Callithrix jacchus: one gene and its partner. The protein of the gene in region 1 purifies or fractionates together with the protein of each later gene. This does not show direct contact. Links are inferred from orthologs where the notes say so. Each region holds a gene or a part of one and is shown in the gene's direction. Other genes may lie near its edges. The genes, in order: ESS2 and FRA10AC1.

Evidence for each region.
Region 2: the proteins of ESS2 (region 1) and FRA10AC1 purify together in Homo sapiens (co-immunoprecipitation; 3 studies listed by BioGRID and IntAct, counting the BioPlex papers as one, with this or other methods). This does not show direct contact. The link is inferred for Callithrix jacchus from reciprocal best matches to the Homo sapiens genes ESS2 and FRA10AC1.

Annotation. Positions count from the first base shown.
Region 1 is NC_133502.1:210,762,808-210,766,628, reverse strand, and holds part of ESS2 (splicing factor ESS-2 homolog), read left to right. Parts: intron 1-259; coding exon 260-362; intron 363-1,143; coding exon 1,144-1,253; intron 1,254-3,821. UniProt on the Homo sapiens protein: May be involved in pre-mRNA splicing.
Region 2 is NC_133513.1:86,416,999-86,420,819, reverse strand, and holds part of FRA10AC1 (protein FRA10AC1), read left to right. Parts: intron 1-1,858; coding exon 1,859-1,977; intron 1,978-3,821. UniProt on the Homo sapiens protein: May be involved in pre-mRNA splicing.

The DNA of each region.
Region 1 (3,821 bases):
GAGCTGAGGCCCTGTCACCTCCCTGGATGGGAGGAGGGGGCTTCTCTCACTTGGGTGCCCATTTTGACAGGCCCTCAAGGTCTTTTAGGGGTTGGGGCAGGGGCCCTCCCTTTCTTTCTTCAAGGAGGCTGCCAGCCCAGAGCCCCAGCCTTGCCCTGATGGGAGGAAGTATTTCCAGCATGTTCTTTCATGTTTGCCCACCAGCCAGCTGTCAAGTGGGCTGTGGTCCCCCTAATGCCAGCCTCTCTGCTTGTTCCAGCACAAACAGGGCAAGGTGGGCCCTGATGGCAAGGAGCTGATCCCCCAGGAGTCCCCCCGAGTGGGTGGATTTGGATTTGTTGCCACTCCTTCTCCTGCCCCTGGTGAGGAAAAGTACACACTGGCAAGTGGGCCTACTGCTGACTCCCTGGGGGAGGTGGGCTTCTCAGTCGGCCCTGGCTACTCCTGGCCTCAACCTGGCCTGCCCCACACCTGTGTAACTCAGGGACCTCGTCTCCTGTCTGTACAAGGCCCTAGAGGCCAGGTGTCCAGGCTACTCAGGGCCGTAGGCGGGCTATACCTGACCTGAGACATCCTGGGGTGATGTGTCCTGTCCTTGTCCTCACTGTGATGTCAACAGGCGGGGGTGTGTGCACAGTGCTTAGGAGTCTAAGTCTGCCTAGCACTGCAGGGAGGGAGGCTTGGCACCTCAGGGGGCAGGTGAGACTCAGGTGGTCCCGTGGCATGTGTGGGTACCCCTCCTGCAGTCTGGCCTCTGTGCTCTTGGGTACTGGTACTGTGTCACAGGTCAGGGCATGTGAAGGCACTGCCGGTTTGCACGGGGTTCTAGGAGGTTTGGGAGCCCTAGAAGGCCTGAGTGTCTCCTCCTGAGTGATTGGGGGAGACCTCCCAGAGGCTTATAGGCTAAGCATGTGGCTGTAGGGCCCTGAGCCCTCCTCGGGCCCACTGGGACCTTGGCATTTCCCTTTTGGAGGATGGAGGTGCCAGGGTTCCAGAGTCCAGGGGAAGGAGAGAGGGCTAGCTGCCTGCCTTCTTATTAGCTGGGATGCACATTTGGTGAACTGGATGTGACTGAAGGGGAGGGCGGTGGGGACCCTAGCTGAGTCCTCTGTCCTGAAGTGGTTTTGGGCTCTTTGTCTGCAGGTGTGAATGAGTCCCCGATGATGACCTGGGGGGAGGTTGAGAACACACCCTTGAGAGTTGAAGGTTCGGAAACCCCCTACGTGGATAGGACACCAGGCCCAGCTTTCAAGGTGGGTTGTGGCGATGGGGGAACAGTGTGTAACTCGGTGTGGATGCCTCTGGAGCCCTGAGTGCCTGTGGCCCAGGATTGAGCACTGGGATTGACCCCCAGCCGCTGACAGGCAGAGTGCTGACTTTTCTGAATGCCAGGGTGCTGAAGGCAGGTGTGGGTGGGTAGGTGGGCCTGTTACAGAGGGATTTCGGGGTATAGGGGCTGAGACACCAAGGTAGAGAGTGGCTTGGGTCTTCTGAATCCTAGAGGCCAGGTACTGTTCATGAATGAGGCAGGATGGTCACAGTCACGTCAGGAGCTCTGCAGGCCTGAGGGCCATGGGATGTGGCTGTGTGCTTGCACAGCAAGCCCCTGGTTACAGAACACGATTGGGGCACACTGGATTGCACAGCTCAAGCCTGGTGTTGTAGGAGTGGTCAGGGTGGAGTGTGTGAGGCTCGGCACAGACCAGGGGAGGCTCTTTGTGGGCTGGGTCAGATGCAACAGGCCTCCCTGTACCACTGCGGGGCTTTCCCCAGAGTACTCAGTGGAGGTAGCCCACGTGCAGACAAAACATGGGCAGAGGTTTGGGTTACCTTGGTTCTAAACTCTGTCTGGGATGCAAGCATAACCAAGGCAGACGTGCAGGAGGGATAACGAAGAGGATGCTGTGCTGTCAGATGTGGGCACAAGGCAAGGGCCATGGTGCTTTCGAGGTGCTACCTGCTGCTGCTTCTTGAGCCTCCAGGCTGACAGAAAAAAAGTTCTGAAACAAACCGTGATCCAGGTCAGAACTTAGGGGCTGAGAAAGATGGCGAGTCAAACTGCACTGAATAGCAGAGTATGTAGAAATGAAGGACTCTGAGTCAGGTCAGAACTTAGGGGCTGAGAAAGACGGCGAGTCAAATTGCACTGAATAGGAGAGTATGTAGAAATGAAGGACTCTGAGTCAGGTCAGAACTTAGGGGCTGAGAAAGACGGCGAGTCAAACTGCACTGAATAGGAGAGTATGTAGAAATGAAGGACGCTGAGTCAGGTCAGAACTTAGGGGCTGAGAAAGACGGCGAGTCAAACTGCACTGAATAGCAGAGTATGTAGAAATGAAGGACTCTGAGTCAGGTCAGAACTTAGGGGCTGAGAAAGACGGCGAGTCAAACTGCACTGAATAGGAGAGTATGTAGAAATGAAGGACTCTGAGTCAGGTCAGAACTTAGGGGCTGAGAAAGACGGCGAGTCAAACTGCACTGAATAGGAGAGTATGTAGAAATGAAGGACTCTGAGTCAGGTCAGAACTTAGGGGCTGAGAAAGACGGCGAGTCAAACTGCACTGAATAGGAGAGTATGTAGAAATGAAGGATGCTGAGTCAGGTCAGAACTTAGGGGCTGAGAAAGACGGCGAGTCAAACTGCACTGAATAGCAGAGTATGTAGAAATGAAGCACACTGAGTCCTTCGGATGCGTAGCAGCATGTATTCTGGAAAAGTGAAAAGGTTACCTGTAAAAACAATAACCATAAAATAACCACGAAATAATGGCAAATATTTAGTTTGATTTTTAAAATTTTATTTATTAAGTATTATTATTATTATTACTTTTTTGAGATGGAGTCTCACTCTGTCACCCAGGCTGGAGGGCAGTGGCACAATCTTGGCTCACTCCAACCTCCACCTCCTGGGTTCAAGTGATTCTCGTGCCTCAGTCTCCTGAGTAGCTGGGACAGCAGGCATGTGCCACTGCACCTGGCTAATTTTTGTATTTTTAGTAGAGGCAGGGTTTCACCATGTTGGTCAGGCTGGTCTCAAACTCCTGACCTCGTGATCCGCCTGCCTTGGCCTCCTAAAGTGCTGGGATTACAGGCATAAGCCACCGCACCTGGCTTCTTCTTCTTCCTTTTTTTTTTTTTTTTTTTTTTTTTTTTAACAGAGTTTCACTCTGTTGCCCAGGCTGGAGAGCTGTGGTGCAATTATAGCTCACTGGGCTCAAGTGACCCTCCAGCCTCAGCCTCTTGAGTAGCTGGGATTAACAGCACACACCAGCACACCCAGCTAATTTTTAAAAATTTTTGTATAGAAATGAGGTCTTGTTATGTTGCCCAGGCTGGTCTCCAACTCCTGAGTTCAAGTGATCCTCCCACCTTGACCTCCCAGAGTGTTGGGGTTACAGGTGTGAGCCACCACTCCCAGCCTGTAGTCTAATCTTAAGTTAGGGAGAACCTTCTAAACATAAAAGGAAAAGGAAGAAATCACAAAGATGACAAATACAGCAGAAAATATTATAAATGAAACTAACGCAAATAACTAAAAACACATGTGCACGGCGTAGCGCAGTTGACTTGACACAGGTGAGGGTCTTCTGAGTGACAGCAGCAGAAAGGGAAAATCAATCCCTTGAGAGCAAACTAGGCCACAGACACACAGGGAATCTGCACCCGAAATAGACAGGGCCAATAAAGACAGAGATGTTCATTCTTAGAATCAGGGAAACACTAAAACATACACTCTTTTTCCTGAGAGATTGTCAGAGGTCATGGCTTTGGGAGGAACATGAAGATAGGTGAGGAGTGCTGGCCCCTGGAGAGGGCAGGTGG
Region 2 (3,821 bases), on another chromosome or scaffold:
CTGAGGCAGGAGAATTGCTTGAACCTGAGAGGCAGAGGTTGCAGTGAGCTGCATTCCAGCCTAGCAGCAGAGAGAAATTCTGTCTCAAACAAACAAACAAAAAGTTAACATCAAGCTCCTATTGAATGATCTCTAATGTATCTGCCACATGAATGTGTAGGAATACCAGTGTCCTGCAGTATATTTAAGATCATGGGCTTTGAAATCAGACCTGGGTTTTTAATTTCAGCTTCTTGGCTTACTCGGCTTCTTCTTGGGCAAACAGCTTAACCGCTGTAAGACTTAATTTTATCACCTGTAAAAATGAGGCTACTAAGGCCTCATTTGGGGAATAAAAGAAAATGCATGTAAAGTTCTTGCCATAGTGCCTGGCATTGAAGATGTTCAGACTAAATGTTTGCGACTTGCCTTTGCGATGGTCAGGTTTTATGCCCTAAATAACAGTTAAAAGTTCAACTCTTGCAACTTTATAAAATATATACATAAGCATATTAGTTTTAAAATGGCTTTCTTTGTTTTCAATCACATGGATTTGTCAAAAAATAACAGCTTTGTTATAAATGTGTCTATACAGTATTTTAGCTGTTAAATGTTAAATAATATTTTTAATTCTTAAAATTGGCAGGATTATTTTTATTATTTTCATTATTCTTTATTTTTTTGAGACAGTGTCTCATTCTGTTGCCCAGGCTGGAGCACAGTGGTGTGATCATGGCTCATTGCAGCCTCAGCCTCCTGTGCTCAAGTGATCCTCCCACCTCAGCTTCCAGAGTAGATAAGACTACAGGCATATGTCACCACACCTGGCTAATTTTTTTAAAGTTTTTGTAGAGATGGTGTTTCCCTTTGTTGCTCAGGCTGATCTTGAACTGTGGACTCAAGCAGTCTTCCTGCCTCAGCCTCCCAAAGTGCTGGAATGATAGGCATAAGCCTCCACACCCAGCCAGGATTTTTTTTAGATTACTTGAATGGCCTAAACCTTTATTTTCCTTTCCCATCGATGATACTTAAAGAAACCAGAGATTTATTTTGACCTTGACTTTTGAGCTTCATTTCAAAATGGAAATGATTCTTACAAAAGAGGCAAGAGTGGTTACTGCATTAAATACTATTATAGCATTTGGTATATGCACTTTAACTTGGAAAATCTGTTAAGCAAGTATTTTGAAAGTAATCTTTCTCTTTGTCTCTATCCTCCTCGCCAGTCCCAATTTCAGCATTATCACCTTTTACTGTTTAGTACTTCTTTTCTTAACCTATTAAAATTAATTGCTTGCTAACCTTGTAAACGTGGCCTATAAGAGATAAAGCTGCAACAGTAAGAGTATAAATTATAAGTGGCCTGATGTTAATATATGCATTAACAATAAGCCTTTTCTATTTTCATTCCATATACTTTTACTATATTCCTTTATTCTTAAAGGAAGAAATTTCTATTTACTGGTAGTTTAGAGCTGTTATAGCAGTTTCATCTTGTTTGTGCTTTTTTAACATGTAGATAGATATGGATTATGTGAAGAGAAATGAGATTTGTTTTTATAATTTTGTTTTAAATGGCTCAGTGATAGAATATAGAAAGAAGGAAACAAATACAATTATAATTTATATTTACTATAGTTGATACAGGACTTAGAGAAAATAATTATTTGTCTCAGTGTTTAGACTTCATTATCTTACTGAATGGTTTTAATTAATATACTAGCCTAAAATATTCACAGATTCACTTAAGTTTCCTTATTATATGAATTACACTTAAAAAATAAATATTTTAACTGATGTTTGTTTTTGTTATTGGTTTTTATTTTTGAAAAGGTCAGTTGGAAAAGTTAACTTTAATTTTTTATTGTTTAACATGAAGGAGAAAAGAAATCAAGTCAAAGAAAAGAAAAGATAAAACCAAAAATGATAGTGAAGAGTCATCACATAAAAAATCCAGATTATCTTCTGCAGAAGAGGTTTCCAAGAAAAAAGATAAAGGTAAAAGGAAATTAAGATAAGGGATCTACTCGTATTCATGAGCATGAAATATAATCTGCCGTATTTCATTCATATAATTGGTGAATGCATTTAGAATTTCATTTTATGGGAGTTGAAAGGAAACTGGCTGAGAATTTAGATATGAATTTAAAGTGACTTACTTAATATTAGCTATTAAGTTTTAAGAACTCCTGTAAGTTAATTAAGGGTTAATTTTAGTTCATTTTTTGCAGATAGTATAATATTGCCAGTAGTTTTCTAATTCCTGCCTTTGTCACCTACAGACTTGTTACTTTGGATAAGTTATTGAACTGCTTTATTTTTCTTATGTATATAGGGGTGAGGCGAATACCTGGCCTTCATACTGGGCAAGTTTATTGGAGAGATTCAAATAAGAATGTGAAAGGCATTTTGAACAGTGCTTTTAAACAGTCTATCATCTATAAATCAATATAAAATTATAACACTGATTTTATTTATAATGGTCTACAGATTTTTTTTCACTAGTTTGTGAGTTTCTAGAAATGAGAAAGATTGACATATATCTGTGCTCTCAGAACCTAGCATGGTGCTGTACACATATACTTAGTAAATAATTATTAAATTCAAGTTTATTAATCAACTGCTTGCTTTTTCCTCAGCAGTCCATAAGCCCTCTAAGACTCAATTCCTTCATGTGTAAAATGGTCATGATTCCTTTTAGAATTGTTCAGAAGTTGAAATGAGATAATTCATTAAGCAGTTTGCATAATACTTGGCACATATTAGCTATTATGAAAGTACTTCTAGTTGCTTTTTTAGCCCTTAATAAAGTTGATAATCAAATTAGATTCAAGCCAATGTTAATATAATATTTGGACAGGAGAGGGCTCTCTTCCTCCAGCTATGAAGGTCATTAGATAGGTTGCATTCTTAGAAACATTTACTTGCACATCATCATTATGTAGACAAAGGTTAAATCTACAAGTCCTCGTAATCCCATCTACTCCGATAGCTTCAAGTATATGGTGTCACCAAGCTTTAGACTTCATAAAATTCATAGATGGCGAGAGGACGATACTGTTATTTTAATTGCTTAAGAGTAGCATTTGTTGCAGAATGCCTTTTTGTCTCTATCTTAATTATTTCCTACTGTAAGGTAAATTTTAACCAATAAAAATTAAAATATCTTTTGAGTTTTAAAAACTTATATGCTAGTAAAACATTAACATCACTTAAGAAATTTGTTGCCCTCATTGTATTATATGTTCATTCTTATCACAACTGTGATACCATGTTAATCACTGCATATTCCAAACGAAAGAATTCATCTCTGCTTTATAAAATGTTACTCAGTACAATCAGAATAGATTGGGTAGATGAATACTCAGGTTCAGGGCTGGGATTGGACCCTTCATATTAAGCATAAATATGCACGCGATCTTCCTTATAGATATTTTTCCTGTAGTGTTTCATCAGTAGATGACACTTATGTTGACCTAAAAACTAATATCAGAAATCTGGGGGTTATCCTTGATACTTACTTTTTCCTTATTACTTATGTTTAATTTGTCATCAAGGTCTGTGAATTTTCCCCACAGAGTACGTATTTCTCAGGTTCTGTCCACCTACAAAGCACTGTACTTTCTCTTATGGGCTACTGTTACATTCTCCTTAGGGGTTCCACCACTGTCTTGCCATCCCACCTTCCCTCCTCTTAATCCAGTCTCCATAAATCAATGGATTCCTGTTGTTTTTAGGCTGGTAACCAAAATCCTGGACAAAGCTAAGAGGTTCTGTGTGATCCAGAACTTGTGTACCATACAAGTCTTGTTTTTTTGCCAATCCGTACCTCACTTTCACAC